Oreochromis niloticus: one gene and its partner. The protein of the gene in region 2 interacts with the protein of the main gene of each other region in a biochemical or structural test. Links are inferred from orthologs where the notes say so. Each region holds a gene or a part of one and is shown on either strand. Other genes may lie near its edges. The genes, in order: mitfb and lef1.

What was found.
Region 1: the proteins of lef1 (region 2) and mitfb form a complex in vitro, tested with the Homo sapiens proteins (2 studies listed by BioGRID). The link is inferred for Oreochromis niloticus from reciprocal best matches to the Homo sapiens genes LEF1 and MITF.

Annotation. Positions count from the first base shown.
Region 1 is NC_031984.2:11,678,297-11,691,046, forward strand, and holds the start of mitfb (melanocyte inducing transcription factor b), read left to right. Parts: upstream 1-5,099; 5' UTR 5,100-5,244; coding exon 5,245-5,348; intron 5,349-5,558; exon of another isoform or gene 5,559-5,678; intron 5,679-12,223; exon of another isoform or gene 12,224-12,293; coding exon of another isoform or gene 12,294-12,343; intron 12,344-12,750. UniProt on the Homo sapiens protein: Transcription factor that acts as a master regulator of melanocyte survival and differentiation as well as melanosome biogenesis.
Region 2 is NC_031971.2:18,071,071-18,083,820, reverse strand, and holds the start of lef1 (lymphoid enhancer-binding factor 1), read right to left. Parts: upstream 8,473-12,750; 5' UTR 7,098-8,472; coding exon 6,897-7,097; intron 4,888-6,896; coding exon 4,821-4,887; intron 3,637-4,820; coding exon 3,509-3,636; intron 1-3,508. UniProt on the Homo sapiens protein: Transcription factor that binds DNA in a sequence-specific manner. Participates in the Wnt signaling pathway. Activates transcription of target genes in the presence of CTNNB1 and EP300.

The DNA of each region.
Region 1 (12,750 bases), on a different chromosome or scaffold from region 2:
TGGTGTGTGTTTCACATGTGCTATTCATTTCTGTTCCGGAGTGACGATGCCCCTAAAATATTCATTACTGCCTTTACTCTGGCTCATCTGGTAATTCTTCAAAGGAAACAGGCACCAAAGTCACATACAGCATTCAGTTTTCTCACAGGAATCTCATTGACATAAACTAACAAATTGTTGTTTGGTTTGGGTTTGTTTTTTGTTTTATTTTGTTTGGTTTTTTTTCATTGACCTTAGACCCCTAGCAAAAAACAAAAACACTAGTGTCACTGCAGTCTGCTGTAAATGCCGTTGCCTGCCAGCATGGCGAGGTATTCCCACCCCCACCCCCATGCTCTTGGATTTCTGACATCAGACATGAATAAGTATCTCATTAAGATCCCCCAAAACCATCTGCCCAATGAGTCTCCTCCTTACAGGAAAAATGCTCTCATAAACAAAAGAGTAGGATTCCCTCATTACCCTCGTTACCCTCATTAGAAATTATTCTATCATCACTGGCAAGCTGTGGTTTTAATTTATTCCAGGAATGGGCATACTTATTAAGACAGCATGTCTCCACTTTTTATAATCGGATTTCGCAATTCAGTTAATAAACCCCCAAAATACTCATTAAAACTGCTCACAGGAAGTATTCTCCAAGTTATCACTCTTCATCAATTTCATTGAACAATGAAAACACAATATTTACTTAAGGGGTGTGCATCAAATTTTATGCACAACTAACTGTGTTTAACTGCCATTCAGTTTTTCATAAAGTCCTGGAGAAATGCAGCATCACTGATAAAGTATGACTTTCTTGAAGCTCATTAAACCAAAACAGCTATTTTTGTACTCTCAAATGCTGTTTTGACGCATGTGCTGGATAGTGTTTTGTTTTGCTGATGTTCGACCTGAGCTCTACCTTTGAGACTGCTGACAATCACATTATGTGTAACAGGCTGAAATGCTGGATGGTTACATGGGGGTGTCCTGATGCATGCTAAATCATGCAGGAAAGGAAATTCCAGAAAGTTGATTCTGTTCATCTGGACGTTACATTTTCAGTGGGAGAAAAGTTTCGACACTTGGACGCGGAATGAAAATCTTCTTTCTGAGAGTGTATAGAGGTCTGCTTCGGTGAGACTGTCTTCAAATCTGTCAAGTTAATCTTTCCCTGTAGCTGCTTCCAAGCTACAAGGTTCTGTTTTGGGGTCTTTACTGTTTCTGTTATAGCTCTGCTTTCTTCACCATATGTCTACCAGTGTTAAGGACATTGCTTATCTATGCTATGCAGATGACATTGGGTTATATATCTCTGTTATGCACAAAGATTTTTCTAAGTTACAGATCTTGCATGGGTGCTTAGACTACTAAGCAACTTGAAAAGTTGAATGGCTGACAACTTTCTCCAAAAAATGAAGCCCTTGTTTGTGCCCCTGACCGATTTGTGCCTAAGGTAGTGAAAGCTCTCCTCGCCCCTTTTGGTAAATCTTCTATCAGGAATCTTGGGGTAACTTTTTAACTGTGGATGCTCATGTTAAGTCTCTGGTTTGCTCTTGCCTTTATCACTTAAGAAGTATTGCCAAGCTGAGTTTCACTGTGTCACCCGCTTATTTGGAAAATGTTACTTATGCCTTTATTTCGTCACACCCGGATTATTGTAATTCACTGCTCACTTGTCTTAACAAAGTTTCCTTTGAATGTTTGCCGGTTATTCAGAATGCCGCTGCGAGGCATCTGACTAAGTCTTCTAAGTACTCACATGCCACACCATTGATAATTCAGTTTCACTGGCTTCCTGTCTGCTCTAGGATTCTGCTTGTGACTTTTAGAGAGCTGCATGGACAAGGACTGGCATAAGTCAGTGAATCTTTACATCCACAGATTCCCACCAGGTCCTTGAGGTCATGTGATCAGGGCTTGGTAGCTGGGCTTCATATAAGACCGAGATCTAAAGGAGTTAGAGCTGTTGCAGCAGTCCCCCACAGACTCTGGAACTCTCTCCCACTGAACTGTGGACTCTTTTAAAAAGCAGCTAAAATGTATCTTTTTAAACTTTTGTTTTTATGTTCTGTCATTTATGTTGTGAAGCACTTTGTTATATTTATATTGAAAGGTGACATATACACAAGCTTTTACTTACTATTTAAAAAAAAACCCTGTCTATCTGAAACACAAATAAACATTCTTATAATAAATAATAATACTTAGTTTATTATTTGGGCTAATCCGACATTTGTTATGGTACTTAATTTGCTAAAATGAGTCCTGGTTTCTTGGATTGGTGTGTTTTTCAACAGACAAGCTGATCAGCAGCTGATAGTCATCCTTACTAGAGCAACCGGACACCTTCGGCTCATATTCCGCGATGTTGTTTGGCAAACGGTTGCAAGTCACTGATGACTGGATGGCAGACTTCAAGTTAAAAGCCGTGACTGAAAACAAAGGTAAACCAGAGTGTTTTTTCATACCTGAGCCGTTATCGATGACCTCCACTGCAGTTCATGTTATTTTATATGGTAGAAATGTTTGTACTGGCTGCCTTTCCAATCTGCACATCCTTGAGTAAATAATAGTGTGTTAGTCTTTGAATAGTTATCCCTGTGTTCACTTATCTCAGGGCACATAGCCAGGATGATGCAAGATATGTGGGTTGTTTTAAAGAAGTTTGTAACTGATACCAAAGTATTCATATTGTCTCCAAGTACCAGGGTTTGAAGATGTTATTGGCATTACAAAACAATGTGTATATTCAGATATTCAAATATTAAACAAATATTATTAACAAATCAGTCCTGAACTCAAATTTAAGTGAAGTAGAATTTTTTTTATGTATGCCCAGCTAAATGAAGCTGAAGCTGAAGATTAAGAGTTCAGCTAAACATATAAATTGTGAAGGTTTTCAATTTATAATAATTTTATTTCAACAATTGACCAGATATTTGTCTATGCAAACTTTGTTTTCGCTATAGGTAGAAAAATGGGAAGCCATAAAACACTATATTTTTCTGCAAAATGAAAAAAGAAATCATTAAATGCACAACTGCCACAAAAGTTTATGAGGTGTGTAAGTATTTATTTACAAACCGTTTCTGCCAAAAAGAGATATAGCACTGACACTTGGATAACTTGGAAAACATGAACACAAACATTGGTTTTCTACCTAAGGGCACTGAATCAAGTTTATTTACTAATGTGCTGACACTGATGATCTGTGCAGGGTGCATGCTGTCTTTCACCCAACATACTGTGGTCCCCCTCTGTTATACAATGGCTGGAAGGGTGGATGGCTCGCTGGATGGATGGGTTGATGGGTGGATGGCTGGTGAGCAGGCTTTTGCACTGGCATTAAAACTAAGAATTTTGGACTCTTCTGACACAGTGATTTTTTTTCTTCTCATATTCAGGTCCTTAAATTTATATTTTCTTGCTTTATTGAAGAATATTAATTTATGTGTTATAATTTGCAAAATCAGCATATTCTTATAGGTATTTAAGAAATGATGTTTCAAAGATAGAAAGATCACTGTGCTAAGAATCGTTTTCTAAATAAATTGACTTCAAAACTACTTTTATTTAAAATATATCTTAAAAATATATATCTGGAAGTAAGTACAAAGGCTGTAGTAGTCTACAAATGTTACAGGTCTAATGCAGTTGGGGGGGCTGGGTAATCAGTACCTCAATTCACCCAAGTACCACATCACAAGTAATTTATCTGTATATTGTAGATCGGATTCTCTGGAGCTCCTGTGTCATGTCATTTGGCTGGATGTATGTGAGTCTTCTTCTCCTGTGTGTCTCAGAAATAGTATTGCAGAAATACAGAAGAAAAAAAACACATTCTGATCCCATTTCTCATTCTGTTCAGCTATCATCGTTTTATTTAAGGCTTTATTTTTAGCCTCCGGGTATGTGCTTTCCAGCAGAATCATATTTGCATTCTATTTGCATTGGTAAAATACAGACTTTAAACCAGTTCAACAGGATGAGGGTGAATGCAAATATTGAACTACCTCTAAATTTCCATTTTATAATAGAGGGTGCCCCCCACACCCCCGCGGGCTCACGAAACTGTTTTCTAGCTCTATACTCCCACCAAGTGGTAGACAAGACTTCAACTGAGGAGACCAAAGTTGGTGTGCTGAGAACAGCGCGTGGGTGAGAGTAGGAGACGAGCGGTCAGTCAGTCTGCACAGGGAAACGGGGAAAAACAGAGACATGAGGCTCGTCTTGAGGTTGGTCTAAAGTCGGGTGCAATATCTGCATGACCCAATAAGAGACTTGAAGTCTAAATATCAAGGTTGCGAATGATCTGCAATGTAAGAAGTGCCGTTATTTATGTTTTTATTTAGATTTTCTGAACAGTTTCTGTGCGATTGCTTCCAGATTTACTCATTTAACTGACTGTTACATCCAGTGTTTGGTTTTTTTTGTTGTTGTTGTTGTTTTTATTATCAGAAACACACAGTCTGATTCTTACTTACTTCAAGGTCACTCTGGGCATGTGTGCTTTAAAGGCTTTAAAACAACTCACTAGATATTGTTTTTATTTTTATTTGCAAACAATGTAGTTATGCTTTCGCAAACTTGCTTGAACAGCATGCCCAGGTCACAAAGGCTGGATTTTTATTTTTTATTTTTATTTTTATTTTTATTTATTTTTTATTTTTATTTATTTATTTATTTTGCGGGTGGTGGGCATGGTGTAAAATATAAAATAATTCATTTTTATTGTGATAGCAAATTAACGCACTCCATTATTTTTAACCAATATTAAATGTATCTGCATTCAGGCAAAATGTGGAGACCATTTCTTTGAATGCAAAATCTAAGAATGCAAACACGCACGGCCACTGGAGCAGACGCTACTAATTCAAAATAACTCTTTACAGCCAATTATTGCGAAATCCACACTGCTGAATAAATATTGCTTATGGAAATGAAACTCTGACATTTCAGTTTCACTAGTCGAGCAAAAAAAAAAAAAGGGTTGTGTAAAAATCCCCTCGGATACTGCAGCCAATCAGAATTGTGCTGACATTTACATCCCCGGAGCATTTTGGTAGTTGTAGTTTCTGGATTATTTGGAGCCCGTTGGCTGCACTTTAGCCGCTGCCGCGAAGGACTACAGAGCTCCGGGTCCTGGGCAGAGGCGGCTTGCGTTGACGGTTGGTACTGTGCGGAGTACTGGGGCACGAATATCACCCGTCTGTTTTTTTAAAGAGGGTTTAGCGTCTCCAAAAGTTGACATCTGCAAGTATGCAGTCGGAATCGGGAATAGTTCCTGACTTCGAGGTCGGAGAGGATTTTCAAGAGGAGCCTAAAACGTATTACGAATTGAAGAGTCAGCCCTTGAAAAACAGGTCAGTTCTTTTGCCGTGGACAGTTATTTCTCACGCTGGAGCGGTTTTTGGGGTTAAGGTGATAATTAGGCTGCAGACTTTTTAAAGTGTTGTCCAAAGTCTATGAATGTGCGGGGCTTTCTCATTGATGTTACTGAAGCTGGTCCCGGTGTACCTCGTTCCTTATGGTCATCCTGCTTGCATGAAGTTATGCAACACATGGGTGTTGTCTTGTCAACATCAACTTCAAATATTAGCTCACAGAGGAGCAGACAGGTCAGAGTTTAGTAAGGTGATGCTCAGCCTGTCTTGTGTTGATGGCTGATATTCAGGTTCTCCAAAAGCAGAATGGTGAGTTATTGTTATTTATTAGATTTTTCTTTAAATCCCCCGAGAATTACCTCTTTTTTAAGTATCACTGCATAACAACATGTGTGGTAAAAGTGCCATAAGTCTACTATGGCACTACACCTTGTGCATTAACAGCTTTGAAGTGTCAAAAGTGTGTAAGAAAGTATTAACTATTAGATAAGCTGTAGTAAAATAAATAAAAAAATCAAACCTGATGTTTCTTTCAGTGGAGGAGTGTAGCCTTCTTTACAAGCTCACAGTTAATATTAAATGCTCTAAAGTTGTTTAAACCAATAAAATAAATCAGCAACCCAAGAGGCAGACAAAATTTAGTTTTCAGCAAGTTGATGGCCTATTAAGAAGTTGTAAAACTTAAGTGCATGTAGTACTGGACAAAGTGCTCCAAGTCCTGACAACAGTTCATTCTTGTAAGGACACAGAACAGAAACAAAAAACAGCTTGCAGCACTGACGTTTACTAATTTAGTTTCAGCTTTGACACACTGAGGCCTCAGAAACATTTAGCTGAGTCAGATCTATGTGGTGTGATTTCACCTTTCACCCTATTTCTGGAAGTAATGCACAGCAAGTTTGATGTCTTATACATATGTCTTATACATGTGTTTAATGCAATGAAATGACAGATTTCCTGTCAACAGTGTAGCATATCAAAACAATATTGAGAAACTTTAGAAGATGCCCTTTTTTGCTTTCTTACAATTTTCACTCTTACTAAGAGTGAAAATTGATCCCAGAGGTGGGAAATATGTAGCAAAATCTATGAGATGACTGGAAGGTGAACTTAAATTTGTTTTGTTTTAATGTTTTATGGGAACATGTTTTTTGTTCTTATTCTAAACACCTTCTCATTTAGAAAAAAAACAGCGTTACATCTTGTTTCGACTGACAGTGAACTGTACTATTCTCAAAACTTAGTTGGTGTGATTGATTCAATTTAAATTAAGTAAGAAAACATGTAACAACCACATGTTACATACACACATTTTTTTCATTGTAATTTATGATTGCACCTCTATGGGTGATTTCAAGTCACAATGAAATATTGTTGGGGTGTAATATAAGTCGTAAGTTATAACATTTTCATGCCCCCTCTGTGATGAGGATGGTGATGACGATTATGCATCTATTACCAGGATGGTGTCAGAGTTTTTGTATTTTGTGTCTGCTCCTCTCTGTTACGTAGTTTAGAGGTGGTGATACATGGCCTCATTGTCAGGGCGAGACATCCAGAGGACAGTACGCCACTGTGTTCGGACAGAGCTCTTGCTGCAGACGTTCGCTAGACTCCAGTTATTTATTTATTTTTCTTTCCTCTCGTTCTTGATATTTTCTTGCAGATTTGCGGTTTGTCTCGTTTTCTCTAAATTCAATCAAAACAACAGTTAGAAGAACTGTTAGAGGAAGAACTGTCATCTTGGACAGTCTTAGCCTTTAGCCTAGTTCTGCATTTTTTAAACTAATGTCTTCAATTTTTTCATTAGTGAAATGTCATTACACTGTTATACATCCTTGGCCTGAATCTGAGGCTGTGTTGTTTTTGTTGCTGGTGTAGCAGCAGCAGCAGCAGCAGCAGCCATTCCAAGTATACGCGAAGTATCAGCACGGTTTGTGAATCATTGCTGTTTGTTTTTCTTTATGTCATTTTTCTCCTGAATGTGTGAAGTCGTCTGAACCGTGGCTTTGATTGAAGGTATCCCACTTCCCCTTTCTATCACATGAAGATGACCCAGCATAATAAATAGTCACGATGACTGTGCCATAAGACAGTTTTATGCAAAATGGTTATAATTAGTTTGATTGATTACTGAGTTGTCTGATGTCTTCTAATAGCTGCTTAAGAAGTATCTAAATTTGAAGTTTTGTGTGCGACAAAATGTCATCTTAGCTTTCATAGATCTATTTGTTTTCTGGCTGTCTGCGCATCAGTTTGACAGAACACACAGACTGCTGCTGACGTCGTGCCAACCTTTTTGTGCCTAATATAGATGTGAGACAGGCGGCGAAACTAGTCTTCTATGCAGTGTAAATAAGCTATATAAATTTAGCAGGGAATGTGTTATATCAGAAACTGTGAGTCGAGGGATCTTTTTTTTTTGCACCCTCAGTCAATGCAGAGGCTGAAAGTTTTGCGTTCTAATGAACAGGCTCGATTATGAACATAGCTTATATTAAATCCATATGGATGAATAAATATTCAAATGTCTTACACAGAAAGATCCCCGGCCAGTAAAGATTAGCAGATGCTAGGCAGAAGGAACCAAACAAACAAATGTGTTGCATTTACATCAGCCTTACAATGAAATTTTCTTGTTGCTTAATTAACGTGTTTCTGTAACAATTTAGGCCAGAATTATCACTTTTAACATTTAATGCCATACATACATCTTTCAGCCACAACATTAAAACCCCTACTTGTTTTAAGCCACAAAAACAGCTGTGGCCCATTGGAGCACAGACATTGGGGGTATTCTGTGGTATTATGAACCTTTTTATTGGCAGACCCTTTGGTCGTGTGGGTTGTGGGACTGGGTTTTTGCAGATGGAGCTTCGAGCTTTTTGTCATTTGGGATCTTGGCGTGGAATTATGTATCAAAGTTACACCCGCATGAATCCTGGATCCCAAGGTTTTCTGGCAAAATTGCAATTGCTAACAAGATTGTCAGTGTTAATCATTTCATTCGTTGTTTTTAGTGCATCTCTATCTGTTTAAATATAAAGACTTCCTCAAAAGCTTTCTTCAAATCATACAAAGCTGAAAATAAAGAATTGAATGACTATGAAAACTTGACAATGGGACTTGGTTTATGTTGCTCAGTAAATATCTGTTTCAATAGCTCGCAATGGGTCTTTGTGGGTCGGGTCTACACTTCGGGTTCTCTCTCTTGGATCTTGGCCTGAGGGGTAAAAACATGAATGGAACTCAAAGTCTCCTGAAAAAACTTTCTTCTACACACCTGAAAATAAAGAAGAATCAGATTTAAGTCAGCAAAAACTGAATCATAAATTAGACCAAAAAGACAAAGACTGCGGTCAAAACTTTTAATGCCGTAAAACTCTGTTTACTTTTTTACTTTTTTTTGGTTTTGGTAAAGAAGAAATTATAATGAACCTTAGGGCACTTTACATAATAATGATAGCTGAGAAAAGAAAATAACCTCAGGCTTACTCTTAATGCACACTCCTTACAGGCATGTTTGGATGATGATGGGTCTTGAATGTGGATGGAGTTCTTTGGAAGAGACATTTTACTTTACCTAAAAATGACAAGGACGCGGAGAAATACAGAAGAAATATTGTAGTTTTCACAACTTATTAGTGTCTAACAATCAAATGAGCATCTTGGTCATTTGTAGTAATATTTTGGTATGAAAATAAACCTTTCAAATTAAAATAAGAGAGATGGAAAGGGGATTTAGTAAAATGATCGGGATATCCAAATATCAATTTAAGTTCTTCTGCAATAGAACTGAAGTACAGAATAGGTATTTAAGGTCAAAGCAATGAGCCAGTGGTCGTGAGCTGAGTCAGAGTTTGAGGGATATGAAACTATGTGTCCAGAGCAGCTTGTTCCCACGGGGTGTCCTAGACAGAGATGCCAAAGAGGTTCATCCATGATCTAAGAAAGACCGAGGGGCTTAAGTGACACAGACAGGTGTTGAGGCTGGAGTAAAATACAGTCAGAACAACTTGTCCTGTAATCATGGTTATTTTTCTGCATTCTAACCTCTTATGTGGCTTCTCAAGCACATCTGCTTAAGATTTCTTCATAAAGAATGAAAAAAATAAAATAAAGAAAAAATTATAAACTCTACATCTTTTATTTACTGATTGATTTGCGTTTGCAGTGTTAATATTCCTGACTTGTGATCTTTGTCTGCCTCTGTTGGTGCCCAGAAGGAACTGCAATAATAAAAGAGGCCTTTGAGTGTGGCTTTTATTGACACAAGTAATTATTCTTAACAGTTAAAAAAGAAAAAGTAGCCTTCAGGCATGATCATGTCTAAAGCCTTCAACTAGATGATTTGTTATTGATTAGTGCAGAATTAATTCATTGTTTACTCAATAAAATACAAGAAGAACCAGAACTAGTGAATCTTTGGCACGTTCGCTTAAAAAATGACTAAAATGACTCATTAACTATTTAAGCAGTAAGTTGTTATTACAAGTATATATAGAAGTTATAACAAGTAATTACTAGCATGCATTAGCTGTTGAAAAAAATACCCTTCACTGTTAAACAGCTAAAACAAATACCTTTACACGGTGACTTAATTATTAAATTTTAACTTGTGGTTAAGACGCACATAATTGCGTACAGTTATTTTTTTTCAGAGTCATATTTTACAGCAACGAAACATTACCATGGTTCATTTCCGAAGAAAGAATGTGTTGATTGTCTGTTATCACCTTCAAAGAAAGCCGAGGATAAATCAGTCTCAGAATGAAAAGCTGTTATGTTGTGCTTGCACATCGTTGTTATATCAATGAACTTGAAAATCTTCTGCACTCATTCAACCTGCTGTAAGGAAACGTATCAAAGGCTCCTCCTTACTGTCCTTGGAAGCTCTACTTACTCTTTGTTAAAGCGCACAGGAAAGAGAGGGAGCTGCAGCTAGAGCAGGCCATCCTGCCGAACACAAGTGAGGGGAATTACAAAGAGCACAGAGCCTAATTACAGAAATAAGACCCAGCAAGTTCTAGTTATCCCATCCAGTCCTGGCTTCCTGGAAGCATATTGCAAAGTACCTGATTTGCTTTTTAGATGCTTTTACGACTGACCCTGTTTTGTTGTGCTTTTGTACTTGAGTGTGAAATAATTATGTACAATTTTTATTTTAACAGTTCTTTATGGAATAGCAATTGTTTTGTAGACCATTGTTTTTTTTGTTTTGTTTTTTAAAAAAAAGGCTATTATAGCAACAGTCAGTGACAGTTGATGCTTTACTAGAGGTCAGGATATCTGTGAGTCACGACATTAAAACCATGTACCTAATAATGCGTAGGGCCCCTCCATATCTCCAAAAAGGCATTGCTATATATAACTTTATAGACTATGCAACAAAATGCTGTTTTGTCTGTGTTTGATGAAGCTAAGGTATTTCCTGTGCTTATGCAGTGTTTATGCACGGTAAATACAAAGTTTCTACCCAGATGTTTACCTAGATATTTACAGGATTAAACTATTTACCTCATCTGAATCATTTGTACAGTTGTTTTTCTGTTTGTTTTTTAGACAAATAAACAAAAAAAAACAACACTTTTATTGCATTCCCTGTGTACAAACCCCACATAATTGACGGTCTAGACATGCATACAGATGCTTTCTATTATCTATGATTTGCCTGCTTGTGACTGACTCCATCCTATCATGCCAGCTGCACCAAGCTGGGCATGTTTGAGCAGCACAGGAGTCCAAGTAGATCAATGCACTGTCATGTAGGGTCATAATCACTCATTTGTATTCCAGCAGAGAGGTTGTGTAGTCTGCTAGAAGGGCAGCAACTCCTGCAGTTTGGTAGAGAGAAAGAAAAAAGGAGACAGGATTGTTACCAGTATTCAGTTTGCCTGTGTCTTGGTTAGATTGCCTATTTTCACTGCTCTTATCCTGTGCTCACTGTATAGTTATATGCAATGTGGTCTGTGTAAGTCACTGTCTACTTCCACAATTCATCCCATTCCTCTTTATTTACCTAAATAGAAGCTCCCGAGTTAAATGATGAAAACACACTGAACGGCCACCAACGGGATAAAAGTTGAGTTTTAATGAGTTTAATGTGGTTTCTTTAGAATACACCTAATCTGGGGAGTGATGTTTAAACTAATGAAAATGAGCACACAGTGTGTCTTTTATTTTTCTTTCATGTCAGTTCATTTCTATTGTGCAACGTGTAGTCTGCCAGCCTCTTGCAGCAGCAGAACATATGTTGCATTCTCCTGTTTATTTTTTTGCAGTTGTCATTTGAAAGTGTGTATTTGTATCAGCCATGAAAGCTGTAAGAAAGTCATGCTAATATGTACACATATTTAGTTCAAATTAAGGTCAATCAGCAGATGAACGTGAAGTCAGCTTGGTAGTGTCAAACTTATCATTATGCACTGTGAAGGTCAAACATGAGAGGAAACAATAAGCAGCATATTTTACAAATAAAGGGAGACTTTAAGGTTTAAATAAACCATTTGAAATCCTTTCAATTTCTCTAAAATGCAGTGTCACTTGTCAAAAGCAGACAAGTTTTTGAGTTGTGATACTTTTGAGATACAAGATTTTCACAGGACAGCGACCCCTACTTGGTTGTAGTCCATCTACAACACGTGTCGGCACATGTCTCTAAGCGTAACACTATCTGCGTGGTTTTAAAGCAGCGTATTGATGGACAGTGTGTTTCCAGCGAACGCCTGCACGCTCCTCTCTTCTGCTTTGCTGTTGCTCTGCACGGGGCTGGTCCTATGCCTGGGACTCTGCGTGGCGATTGGAGATTCCAGGCCGGGCCCTGGAGCCTCCCCTCTCTGACACACTTTCAGCGCTGCACCACCAGCATGACTTTCACTGCTCTCCAAGGGCGGGTGGTGCACCTTCAGGGAAAAACAAACAAATATGGAGGCTGTAGGAGTGCAAGTGTACAGACCCTGTTCATTTGACTGTCTGTGAGTATGGCGCCTCAGCATCTGTGGTATTGCTGCAATGCATTAAGGCTTTATTTTGGAATCTATATGTTTGTTCAACACTATGTACACATGAAGGGCACCATGCACTGAGCTGTATGTGGGAAGTAGTCTTGGAAGATTTCTCCTTGTGTTTTTATGTGCTGAATAGTTTTTGTATGTCAGGATATACATTTATCAGGCTATTATAGTTAATTGCAGCTCGTCACTGGCCACTTATAGCGAGGGAGCTTAGAAATCTCATACTTAAGACATAAAGTAAATAACAGAAGAGGTATCATGTTTTGGCATGCTAGTTATTTATTTTTTTTAATGAGACTGTAATGGTAGAGTTATTATTCAGTCACACAGAAGTCATTAGGTCTGCAGAATCCATCTCCTGTCAATTA
Region 2 (12,750 bases):
GATCGGGGATATAAAACAAGCATACTGTGTGATTTACTCCCATCCACATCATCCTTGGGTCAGCAGAAACTGATAAGACTGTATCCTCTAGACTTGTGACATGTCACAGATCGTTTCAGTGACATCTAAGAGCGTTAGAATGATGAGCCATACAGAGGATCTTCACCTCTTTGAAAAAGACCTCACATGCAGTATATTCCTTTAAAACATGTCCACTTGTTCATATCAAAGAGTGCACTGAGCTTAAAAAGTCAATCAAAAGCTGTAAATCAGCCAAATTTGTCGACAAAAAAAGCTTGCACTCCCCCCACATTAACCTGGTTTCGTGTATGCTGATAATCACAGCCAAGGTAATGAGCAACAGTCCAATATGGACAAATGTGATAATGGCTTTAAAATACACACTTCAAATTAGACAGCAGTTCCCACTAGCATTTACCAGACACTCAAGTTTCTGTTGCTTTATGATCACCAAGGTGTAGATTACAGTCCTTACACTTTTATGCTTTGAACTGTAAACTGTAAATCTTCAAAAGCTGCGAGTTCACTTAACAAATAAATGACTCCTTAAGTTGGCTAGCTTTGTTTTAAACCCACACGTATGGGGAACTGGCATCATCACACATCAAATTCTAAGCTCTTGTGCCGGAGTCAGCTTATCAAGCTGGAAGTCCTAAAATCTGCTGACAATCAGCAACTCCCAACAGCTCCGTCGTGACTGGACGGCATGTGCAGGAATGTCATGGTCAATGGAAATCAATCTAAACTACTGGGATTGGGGGCGGTGATGGGGCTGGGGATGGAAGAGAATGAAAGAGAGAATGTGCCTTTGATCTCAGTGAAAACCGATCCCAGGCCTGCAGATACTGTGGCTGCGGTGGCCAGCAGCAGAGGCAGCAAGCTGACATCAGTGAGAAAGCCAGAGGACTCATGTTCCGTGATCCCTCCACCAAGCCTTGGCTCTTTTTATTGGATAAGTGAGAGAAACGTATATAAAATGACTACCGTTTTATTGAAGACAGGGAAGGAGGAAAATTGAAGAAAAAAAAAAAAAAGCAGCCATGGTAAATGAAATGAAAGCGTGGCTTTAGAAGTTTTGGCAGCAAGTATACCGCCTAACTGCCTGGCCTAATTCATCTGCAGTGAGGGGTAATTTCCTCTCACACAGTCAGCTGGTCTCCATACAGACTTCTATTTTAGAAGAGTTTTTCTTTTAGCTTCGTGCTATACAATAAAATAACAGCTAAAATCTACCACAAAACAAGCCAAAAACAGTATTTGGAAGGTAACATACCCCGCTTTTGCACTATCCTGCTTGTAAACTGAAAAAAGCAAAAAGCATGAGGTAATCAAGATCCCCCCCAATCCACAATGTCACATACTTTCACCTTCTGCAACTTTGGCAGGGAGGAAGCATTGCAATTTTAACATCATTCTATGATAGAGTTGCGTGTGAATGAAGATCCTTTACACACAGCATGTGGCATCTGCCCCCGACAATCACATCTGCTTCCAAAAACCGATTCTTACAACAACACAGAGCTCACATTTCACAACTTTACCCTGATGAAACCGACTCGCACGCACTGCAAAAGCACAACAACCGAGCGTTTCCCGTATAGAGACGCCACACCGTAGACAAGACTGAAGCTGGCTGCAGAGACGTGAGCAGACCAGGGCCAGACCGGACAGCTGCTCGTGGGCCTGTGTTTTATGTCTGTCTTGAGGAGAAATTTGCAAACGGGACAGACACAGGAAGCCGCCAGTCAGAGACCTGCAGCTGGCCTGAAATTAATACCGTCACAGGGGCGATATCTGCAACACACGCCACCCCTAACACGGTACTATAAGCTCTTCTGCAGGGTAGCCCCAGAGACGTGATTTTGGCTCCCTCAGTTCTGCTGGGCTAATTAGAGGGTTTACTTGGGTCATGTAGGCATGCATCACTTCAGATTTTAACAAGATGAGAAATGGTGTACATCTCACAGAGACCTTTTCGCAATGTATGGCTGGCGTTTGGTTTTCAGTGGTCACGTATAGCTGTCAAGGGGGCGGATATCAGCACGACACAACGGCGAGACAAATATCAAACATCACACACACTGAAAGGGAATATTTTTGTGGGGTTATTCTGATGATGAAATAAGGTTTATGCCTCTAACGAGAAAGCCGAGAAATCTGATTTTTTCCTTAAATCCTCTTAATCGACTCTTGGAAGTATTCTGGGCTGAGCTGAATTTTTAGCAGGAATTATTTTCTCGCAACTAAATGGTTTAAAAAAAAAAAAAAAAAAAAAAAAAAAAATTCAAAGCCACCAATCAGATCACTCTGTAAAATGATTTACCTGCTGATATCCAACTCTGAGTCAATTTTACCCAAAAGCTTAAAGAGGGATATCTCTGTAATAAATCTTTAAACGTTCCCTGAGAGACACCACGAAAAGCGTCCCACATTGGCAAAGGATCTTTTATTTATCTCACAAAGAGCAGCAAATATCTTTTTAGTTGTGTTGATACGTCTCCTAAATTTAACACAAGCGAAAACTCAGAGACCACAGATTTCACCTAATCGACAATATGAAGTTCTGAATTTGCAGTGGTTAAAAACAGAAACCAGCAGTCACAGCTACAAAAAGATCAATGAGGTTATTTTTAGCTGATACATCATAAATGGTAAATACTAAAAAAAAAAAGGTCCTGAAAACTCTAATCTTGTTCTAAGGTGACACTTTTGATTAAGTCTTGCACTCCTCAACAAGCGTCTGACACATAAATTTGATTTATTTCTGGGATCACTGTGAAAATGTCATGAGTAAAAAAAACAAAACAAAACAAAACAACTACAACAGCAACCAAAAAAACAGCATGTCCCGCTGCCTCTTGGTTACCTTTTGACAGTCTGCGGGTAGGTAAAGCAATAGCTCCTTCAGTCTGACCACACTCTTTGCTACATTAGCAGGATATGTGACATTACTATAACTTAATTTCAGTTTTGCTTTTTAGTTTCTCTTGTCAGGAGAAATTTTGTCCCGAGCCTGGACTAAATCTGAGCAGGTGCAAAGTCAGCAGTTAAATCTCTGCTGGTGTTTTAAAGTTACCCATCATGTTTGTTTTTGCCTTCCTTCCCACTAGCACTAATTAATTAAACAGAAGTTCCAAACCATTATTAACATCTACTATCATTTAACAGTAGTAAAAAAAAAAAACTAAACAAAAAAAAACCCAAAAGCTTTAACCCATCCAAAAAAAACGAATTTCTCTCTAAAAACACCCTGCTTTTGTATTCATTTCATCACTCAGGACTGTCAATTATTTACTTTTCTCATAACTAAATAATTTTTTATATTCTTACGACGTAAAATTAGAAAATTACTCTTTGTCTCACTGGCAAATGATATGCCGACTAACACGCCTCAAGCTTAAGTTTGCATTTCACATCATGAAATAATACAAGTTAAACTGCAATACTGACTTGTGGAGAGGAAAAAAAAAAAAAAGCTGGTACTGACCGTTCTGGGCATGGGCGGCGAGAGGGAGCCATTGTTCATGTAGGAATCAGTGTTCATGTTGCTCATCATGATGTAACCTGGGTAGCCCGGGTACGGATGGCCTTTACTGTACATGTCTTGATGCTTTCCTAATAAAAACATTTAAAAAAAAAACAAACAGAGTAAACGTGTGTCGGTCGCTGTGTTTTTGCACAGAGAGCACAAACACCAGTAAAAGATTAATTAGCCAAAGATTCAATAGCTTTAATTACAGTCATATCTTCGAAATGGCTGATTTTAATCAACAAACTCGATAAGCAGCAACAACAAAGCCGAGCACAAAGTTGGCCTGGCTGTTTTGATGTAGTAATGATATCGCTGTCGATTGATTTAACCCCTGCCCTATTTTGCCACGGCCTTTTGTTTGTGCCTTTTCTTTCCGCCTCACAGAGGCGGGTCATATTATGCAGCGGAACAATGGAGCCCCTCTGTGCCAATTAGCACCAATTAGAAGAACATACAGACTGTGTCAAAACAGGAGACGCCCCAACTGTTCCTCTATGCCTTTGACCTGAGAGGGGGGGGGAAGCTTTGCACAAGAGGCTTCAATACAGCATCACTCGCCACTCGAATGTGCGCGGCGTAATAAGGCCTGGAGGGGCTGGGGCTGTTTCTGGTATACAATGCGACAGCAACATAGATCTTGTTGTGAAGAAAGCCAGTGTTTGATTTGAAGGGGATCCTATTCAGGAGTGAAAGGGGAACAAAGAGGAGGCATACTCCTCTTCAAAGCCCTAATAATGACCCGCAGCAGCGGGGTCAGACTACAATAGCCAGAGAGCAACAAGCCCCAAGAGGCCGCAACATGTTGCATGCGACAATGCAACCGGAGAGCTGAGGGATACGACGGAAATATTTGAGGAAACACGACACGAAACATCCAGACAAAAGTTTTGCTTTTGGGTTGTGCTCAACTTGAGGCTGCTGCCATAAGTGCATATTTTTGCTCCTTTTTCTTTGATGTCCATTTGTGCAGGTACCCTCATCTACGAGGGAGGTAACAGGTAGCTGTGTTTATGAAGGTACAGCATGCCCTGACTAGACTTGGGATGAGCAGGAACAGGGGCTCTGATAAGAGAAGTACCAACAGTTTCATCACTTCTGCGTGGTGAAAACGAGGGGCCACTACTTCCACCTTATCTTCTAAAGCAAAAGCAAACCATGTTTCAAAAGGAAAAAGAAAAAAAAAAAAGGACTTTTATTGCAAATAAATGTAGCGCTGATTGTCCTATAACACATGCTGATTTAACAAGCTCCAGATTGTGTCTCTTACCATCTTCCGGATGGTCTCTGTGTTTTTCATGATATGAATCTTGTGGTATTTGGGACTGTCTAGCTGCCTGTAAAAAAAGAAAGAAAGAAAATAAAAAGAGAGAGAGAGGGAGGGAGAGAGAGAGGGAGAGAGAGAGAGAGAGGGGAAAAAAGAAGAAGAATCAATTAGAAAGGCATCCAAACACAGTTACACACATGCTGATGTGGTCAGACAGCCACAAACATTGCTGGGACAAACATCGTCCCTTTGCCTGTCACCAAAGGAGAGAAAGCTTACAGACAGACAGACAGACACACACACACACACACACACACACCACTATCTATAGAAGAGTGATGGAGCAGCCTGCATCAAAGCTTCAGAAGAACCACTTAATTAAGCTTCATGTCCTTAAGGAGCTTACAAATTAACTTGTTTTCAGTACCATAGGTCCACTCTCATTTTCATCTCCCAGTCTGAGCCTCCTTCTAAATTCAAATAGTGTGTTTCTGTCATAAATGAAATGGCTGTGTGCAAAGTGAAATAAAATCGCTCCATAAAAAAACGAAAAGGGAAACAGTGCAGACTATTTTCTGCTTATGAAAAAATGAAAGAAAAAAAAAATCCTCTGCACTTTGAACACCCATTTCCTTTCTCTTTTCGAATCCGAATTGGGAAGGGGACCTCTTTTTTAGAGTTCAGACCCCTCAGGATGGCTTCAAGCTGAGCGAGGGAACTTCACTAGATTCCTAATTAACATTCAGCCTCTGTCTCGTGTGTCCCTAGGACATTCGGCGGGGAATGCGTACAGTTTCGTTCAGGATGTAGCCATGTAGAATTTTTTTTAAATCAGAAAAGAAAGAAAGAAAGAAAATGGATTAACACCACAGTTAATGGCAAAACAGCCAACTTAAATGATGGGGATGCTGCAGCCTGCATCCTGAGGTAGGCTTGATGGATGCGGGGGGAAAAAAGAAGTCACTGATGGTTCACGCTCTGTCACTTCTCCCCTGCTTAGAAAAAAAAAAGCCATCTTGCAAGTGCGATATATAAAGCACGACTGCAATAATTTTTAATCATTAAAAATTAATCTCGAAGAATTTTTCCACTGAGATTTTCAATCCATTTAACATTCACCACAAATTCAGCACATCCACACATGCAAGGATTTCTTCTCATGCACCCATCTGGCCTCTCAGCATCCTTTCAGTTTAATCAAATGGAACAAAGCAAATGCAGAAAAATCTTTATTATACAACTCACCCCCCCCCAATTCCAACCTTAAAAACTGAAAAGAATAATTTATAGTCACAGTTTAAAAGAGGCAATAAAAATAATGAGCAGAATAAGCCGGAGTGTGTGAAGATCAGATCTTGAAAACGAAATAAAAGACCGCATCCTTTCATCCAGGCAGAATTTTAAAAATTGTGAATGTTAAGGAAATTCACAGTATTGCTGGCAAACAGGTTTTAAGCCATGTGTGCTAAATGGATTCATGTGCTGGTGTTTAAGCTGCTGAGGGTGTACCACAGCCAGCACAGCCACCGAGCCCTGCTTGTCACAGGCAGCTTCACAAGGCCCCAGTTCTCACATCTCATACAATATCTTTTGCATTTAGCTCAATCTGCAATTTCATTCATTTAGAGAAAAATACAACTGTAATAGAACATTACAATTTAGGCCTGCACTGATTACAGTGGATAGACTGCTGAGTGTTGGCCTGTGACATTTATAGGAGCATCTTTTTTTTCTAGTTTAAGGAATCATAGCCATATCAGTGGCACAGCTCAAGTTACATTTTCAATTAAAAGGAAAATAAAATGGAAATCGTAAATTAATAATGATAATAAATAATAAAGCTCTAAAAACGATTCGTCTATAAAACTAAGCAAAGGGAGAGGAGGCGTTTTCGCGCACAAGACATTCAGGTAAACCAAAGCTCAGTAAAAAACTATACTATTAATTAGAGGAGATCAACTTTTGTTTTAAAGGCTCCTGCGGGCTTTTTATTTCTATTTTTATTAACCTTCCCTCTCTGTTGGGGAGCTCTCAGTAGATGCCCACCACCACATCAGTGAACCCACAGCAGTTACTCACGTCGTGGCTGTTGCTGTTGGGGCTGCTTTCCGACTCGTTGACCAGAGATGACTTGATGTCTGCCAGGTCCCCTTCCTCTTCCGAGTGGCTCAGCTCGGCGAAGATCTGCTCCTTCTGCGGGTCCCCCTCGTCTTTGAACGGGATCATTTCATCTGTGGCGCAAAGCTCCGGGTCTCCGCCGCCGCCTGATAACTGGGGCATTTTTTCACAAAGTGTTTCGCTTCCCCGAGAAAACCGAAGACAACAACGCGTGCCACCACTGTCCCGAAACTACACAGAGATAGAGAGGGGGAAAGATGAAAAAGGAAAAAAAAAAAAAAACCTCCCACCGAAACGGAGTGGGAACCGTTGCCTTCCCCCCCTCCACCTCCTCCCCTGTGTCACACCGGAGAGTCACCCGGAGAGGAAGCGGCGTGTGAGCACGCTGCCGGTGTGTTTTTACTGAAGCAACAGGAGGCGCGAGGCTGCTGCCGGCGTCCTTTTGTTGTTGTTTTTTCCCCTCTTTTCTGCTCTTTTTCCGTCACGAGAGTTTAACTACAAAGCTTGAAACTCACACACTAAAAAAAGTGAGATGCAAAGGGGTCGGAATGAGAAGTCCAGTGCACGCCTCAATGTCATGAGGAAAACATAAAAAGGGGGAACAAACCACGAGTTAAAATCTCATCACCATCTTTTTTCCTCCCCTCTCGCTTTCTTTCTTTTTTTCTGTTTGAAGTCAGCACGCGACGACCGCCGCGTTCCCGTAAAAACGACTCAACGTGAAAAAGTACATTTAGAAAAGTGAGAGAAGATATTTCCTCGGTGGTCCCGGAGACGAAGCTGCGAGCGTCCTTCAGCGTGCGTGTGGAGAGGTTGGAGGGAGGGGGAAAGTAAGACGAGGAAAAGGAAAAAAATTAAGTGATGGATGCGTAACTGGAAGAAAACGCAGTTGTTGTTGGGGGTTTTTTAAACAAGCAAATACTTGGGCGACAAGCAACGCAGCGAGACGCCGTGATGCTTAAAAATACATCCTCGAAGCTGCTCGGATGAGGAGGGATAAAAGCAAAAACCAAAAAAAGAAGAAGAAGAAAATCACAGAAAACAATCAAAAAAAGAAGGCAAGAGTGGAAAAACGCCGTGGACCCGACTTCCCACTGCTCCCGCACCGCTTCCACAGCGTAATGTAACCAGTGTGTGTATGTGTGTGTTGGTAATGTAGCCGTGCTCCCTCCTCCTCCTCCTTTTTCTCTCTCTTCAGTCACTGGGAAGAAAGAGAGATGAAAGGGAAGCCGAGGCTCTGATTGACACCGCACCGATTGACACTCCTCCTGAGAGAGAGATTTATACACAGCTCACAACAAATGGGCAGACAGGAGGGGAGGAAAAGGAGAATGAGCGGAGAGGCTGGAACTTGCTGTGTATATGATGGGTTAAAAATAATGAGGAGAAATAAAAAATGATAATTGAAATATAGAGGGAAAAATATTGGACAAGCTTAAGCCTGTTTTGTTGGTGCTGGAGATGTGATTTAATAAATCTGCAAGAAGTGGCAATGGCCTGTTTTGGAAACAGAAACAAAAAAATAATAAGCTGAGGGAAGTTTAGAGGAAGAAAAACACACAAAGTATGCTCCAAGTGTTAGGAAAAATAAAAAATTATATATATATATATATATATATATATATATATATATATATATATATATCAGGTGTATGTCTATAAAGGGACATAGGCCTGTTATTTATTCAGCTCCCTTTAAACTACCTTGCGGTATACCGTGGGCATATTTGTGGCTACATGGTGCTTTCCGTGTTTTCTACTTACATCAAACAAACAAGAACGTATTCAGAAAGTCTTCGCCCCCAAAAATGGCCAGGTTAAAAGAAAATGTCATATTGTACTCACAGGTTACCTGCCTATATTTAAAGTCCCTTTTGCATATTAATTCATTATTAGCACATGCGCATTGAAATTAACAAAAATATAGAAAACACCAGCGATTGGTCTGTTTGCTACTTTTACCACTGAAAAAAACCGTATATATCAAGCTGCAGACGAGCGGAAGAATATTTATAAGAAAAAAAAAAGAGTACTTTAATGCCGATGTATTTAATGAGAACATACAGTTGTTGCTTTGTTGTTTTAAGAAAAAGGAAAGTAAACAAAACAGGCAGTGGAAGTGGCTGAGTTTCAGCGTCTGTCTGAGCACTAAGAGATTGCGTGAGAATCAAAGTTGGGATGGGGAGGCAGATCTTTATAAAGCGCGGAGGTGGGTTAGCGGGGCGGAGCCGCGGCTGCCTTTGATCTTGCGGCGGCTGGCTCTTTCATCCCCGACTCCCCCACCACCCCGCGCTTCCACCGCCACCTCCCTCCCTCTCTCCCTTCCTCCCTCTTCCACCCCCATCCCCTCCTCCCCCTCCTGCTCTCCCTTGCCTTTGTATGACTAAATTTGGTCTGAGTGTGGAGTCGGGCCAACATTTCCACGTGTGCGTTCATCCCAGCTGAGAGTGAGAGAGAGAGAGAGAGAAGGGGTTCTCTTCCGGGTAAGGAGACAGCGAGGAAAAAAAAAGATCAAAGGCTTTTGGGTTTTGGAAGCCGAGTGTGGATTCAAAAGAGCCGAGACTGGCTGCATTCCAGAGTATAGCGGAAAGCGCGCTGCTGCTGCTGCCGCCGCACGCGCGACGCGCGTACGCACACACATTCACGCACAAGTAGGCTACGCACGACCGCAGCACACGCACACTAACACGCGCACAAAAACACAGCAGTGAAAAAGAGAGTTAATTAGAAAGATTTCACACAGGCAGACAAGAACAAGCAAAGCTTTCATTTACAAGACCCTTTAACAGTATTTTTTCTTGTTTCCAGCCAAAAACTGTGATAGCCTACAAGGTAGAAAAAAAAAGAAGAAATCTTCCCCTCTCTGTAGGAACTGTCGGTTCTACTTCATTACATTGTATTTAATTTAATTATCCGGCACTATTTTTTTTTCCTGGCGCGATCTCAAATGATGCTACAGCACCACCAACACCCTAAAGCCATGCTAACAGAAGCAACCTAACCGTTTTTACACTTGTATAAATATATTTTTCTTTTTTTCTCTTTCCTGCATGTGTTCTGCATTCACCTTGGATATGGTTTTAAATGATAAAATTGGTAGAAAGGGAAAAATCTGGGAAGAGGAGGGGGCGACTTTTGGTTGCATTAAGGCCTATTAAGATACTAAAAAAGAGAGAGTACAGGCCTGCAGGGCCTCTGAAGTGGAAAGATCCCACAGTGTTTAAAAAAAAGGAAACAGATTAAATATAAATCACAAGCATAAATGACTCATGTTTATTCTTTGGTTTTTGGTTTATTGGCATTCAAATACGTGATAAAATGCAACATATAAACCTTAATCCTAATGCTCTGTTTTCAGCATCAGTGAGACACAGTAGGCCCCAGTTTAACAGTCTAAAAACACACTCAACAGATTCATACTTTATGTTTCCCATTTGATTACAATTATATACAAACATGATTTAAACTGATTGAAGTGTGGATTTAATGCACACTTTGGTGCCAGTGCCAGGTGTAAGACTGGCAGGGAGATGGTGACAGTTCTTCACAGCAAAACTCTTCCCAAAGAATAAATAAATTTTTGTATATTAAGATGTGATTATAGCCTATGCAATGTGTAAAATGCATAAAACAAACAATTATATAAAACCATAACAATGCTTAACTTTTTTTTACTCAAAAGGTCTCTTGCAAAGGGTAATTCTGACCTTCTTAAACTAAATGTGCGAATAAACAGAGACAATCAGCAATAGATCAAAGATTTTTAGGGAGATAATTTCTTTACTTTTCTTTCTAAAATGATTTTTGCATATACAGCACAGCATCTGTGGAACCCTTATCAGCGAGCAGATAAATCAGCAACAAAGCAGTCCAGACCAAGAAGACATTTACTATGATTGAAGATAAATTAACACTAATAAGAAAAACTAATAATATCTGCACAATTGAATCACGAAAATAAAACAGATTTTTCCATCATGACAGACTAAAAAAAATTTAAAATAAAATTATGAAACATAGTGGATCAGTGACAGAAGTAGTTATGGAAAAATAAAAAACATTTATCAGTAAAACAATTGAATGCCAACTATCAAATACCTGTGTATATTTTTATGTTATATTGTTATTGCAGATGTTTCATAATGCTACATATTAGCTTAGTTTGGCCTCAGCTGAATTGTGTTTCCAGCTGGGTTTGGATTTTTTTTGTTTATTGTAATTTAATATTCTGGTCTTGGAAAGAAAGCTAGTTTGTGAAAGCCATGAGTGAGGGAGAGATTCATTATTAAATACCCTTTGCTACATGATGAGAGACCACTGCAGGAAGTCCATCTTCCTGATTAGCAACCCTGAGAGGAGAGGTTATTTGTTCACTGGGTGATATATATATATATATATACATACACAACAAACAAATAACATACAGCTTTTGTTTGCTGTGTAATAATTCTAGTTTGGGACTTGATGACAAGGCAACCAGCGACAGCCTCTCTAATGAACTGCTGTCAGAACCACCTAACACACCTTCCCTTGACATGAAACTGCATTATATATTCCAGCTTGGCTCTATGCATCACGGCCCTCGTTGTTAAAACAAGCAGGAAAGTTGAAGTGGGAAGAAAAGAGAGAGAGAAGGAAGAAGGGGAGGAAAAAAACAGAGCTACATTAGCATTTCTCTCCTAATGAGTTCATAAGAGTGACCCCTCTGGATCTCACATGAAAAGGAAGATTTCCTGCAGCGCTGTGACCTGAATTCAGTTGTCTCTCACTTTAGATACTCAATTTTGCATGTTATATAAAAGAAGAAATGTATCTATACACACGGCATAATTCATCACCAGCGGATTCTGATTTCTTTTCTCCCTCCTTTAAGACTGGTAGTCTATCTCAAGGAAGAAATAAATATTTTAATGGTCTGCACATTGTGGTAAGACCCAAAGTGTTGATGAACTTAATAATGCATATTTAGCTTATTTTGTTTTATATGATGTTTTTCCTCCTCTTGTAAAGTTGGGACAGGATCTCGGTTTCGCATACAGTATGAATCGTGTCAAACAAAATGCTCTTTGTTGGAACAACATTCAGTCAAGGTCCTCTTTAGATCTATTATTGTCTCATCTTTTATCTGTTCTATTTTCATTGCGATGCATAACACTTCAAACAAAAATTACCCTAATTATCTCTTGTTCCCACACTGTGCTGTGTATGTGTGCTGTGTCTGTGTGTGTGAAATCAGCCTAGTCGGTGTTATCATTTGTCCTTATCAGTTACTTAAATGACTTGCCGGGTGATTTCAGTGCTGAAATCATTACTCTGCCTTCTATTCCACCTGCTAGTCACACATAACAACTTCCTTCATGTAAAAAAAAAATTACAGCCCTTGCACTCGCAGCCACCTTCAAGAAAACGACAGGAAACAAACATTAAATTATGATGAAAAGGGCTTGCAATTAAAGCCGAGAAAAGACACCATTTATCAAACGTGCAAATCAAAACTGGGGGAGGTCCGGGTTGAGTGATTATTGGTTCAGCCCTTTGATTGGTGGAAGATGAGTCACCTTCTTGAAGGGAAGGAAAGTGTCTTGGGGGTAAGGTGAAGGAAGTGAGAGGCAGGCCTGTGATCTGTTGATTTATGGCAATGTTGTCAGAAGTTTGTCTCAGACAAACTGTCATTAAAATGAAATTATCTCCTTGATGGAAAGGAAGGGGAATTTGTCAGGTTATGTAGATGTATTTTGTTTTGAAGCTTCAATTTTAGAACTGTGGCTGTTGCTGTCTTAGTTGTTTGTTTTGGGGTTTTTTTTGTTTGTTTTGT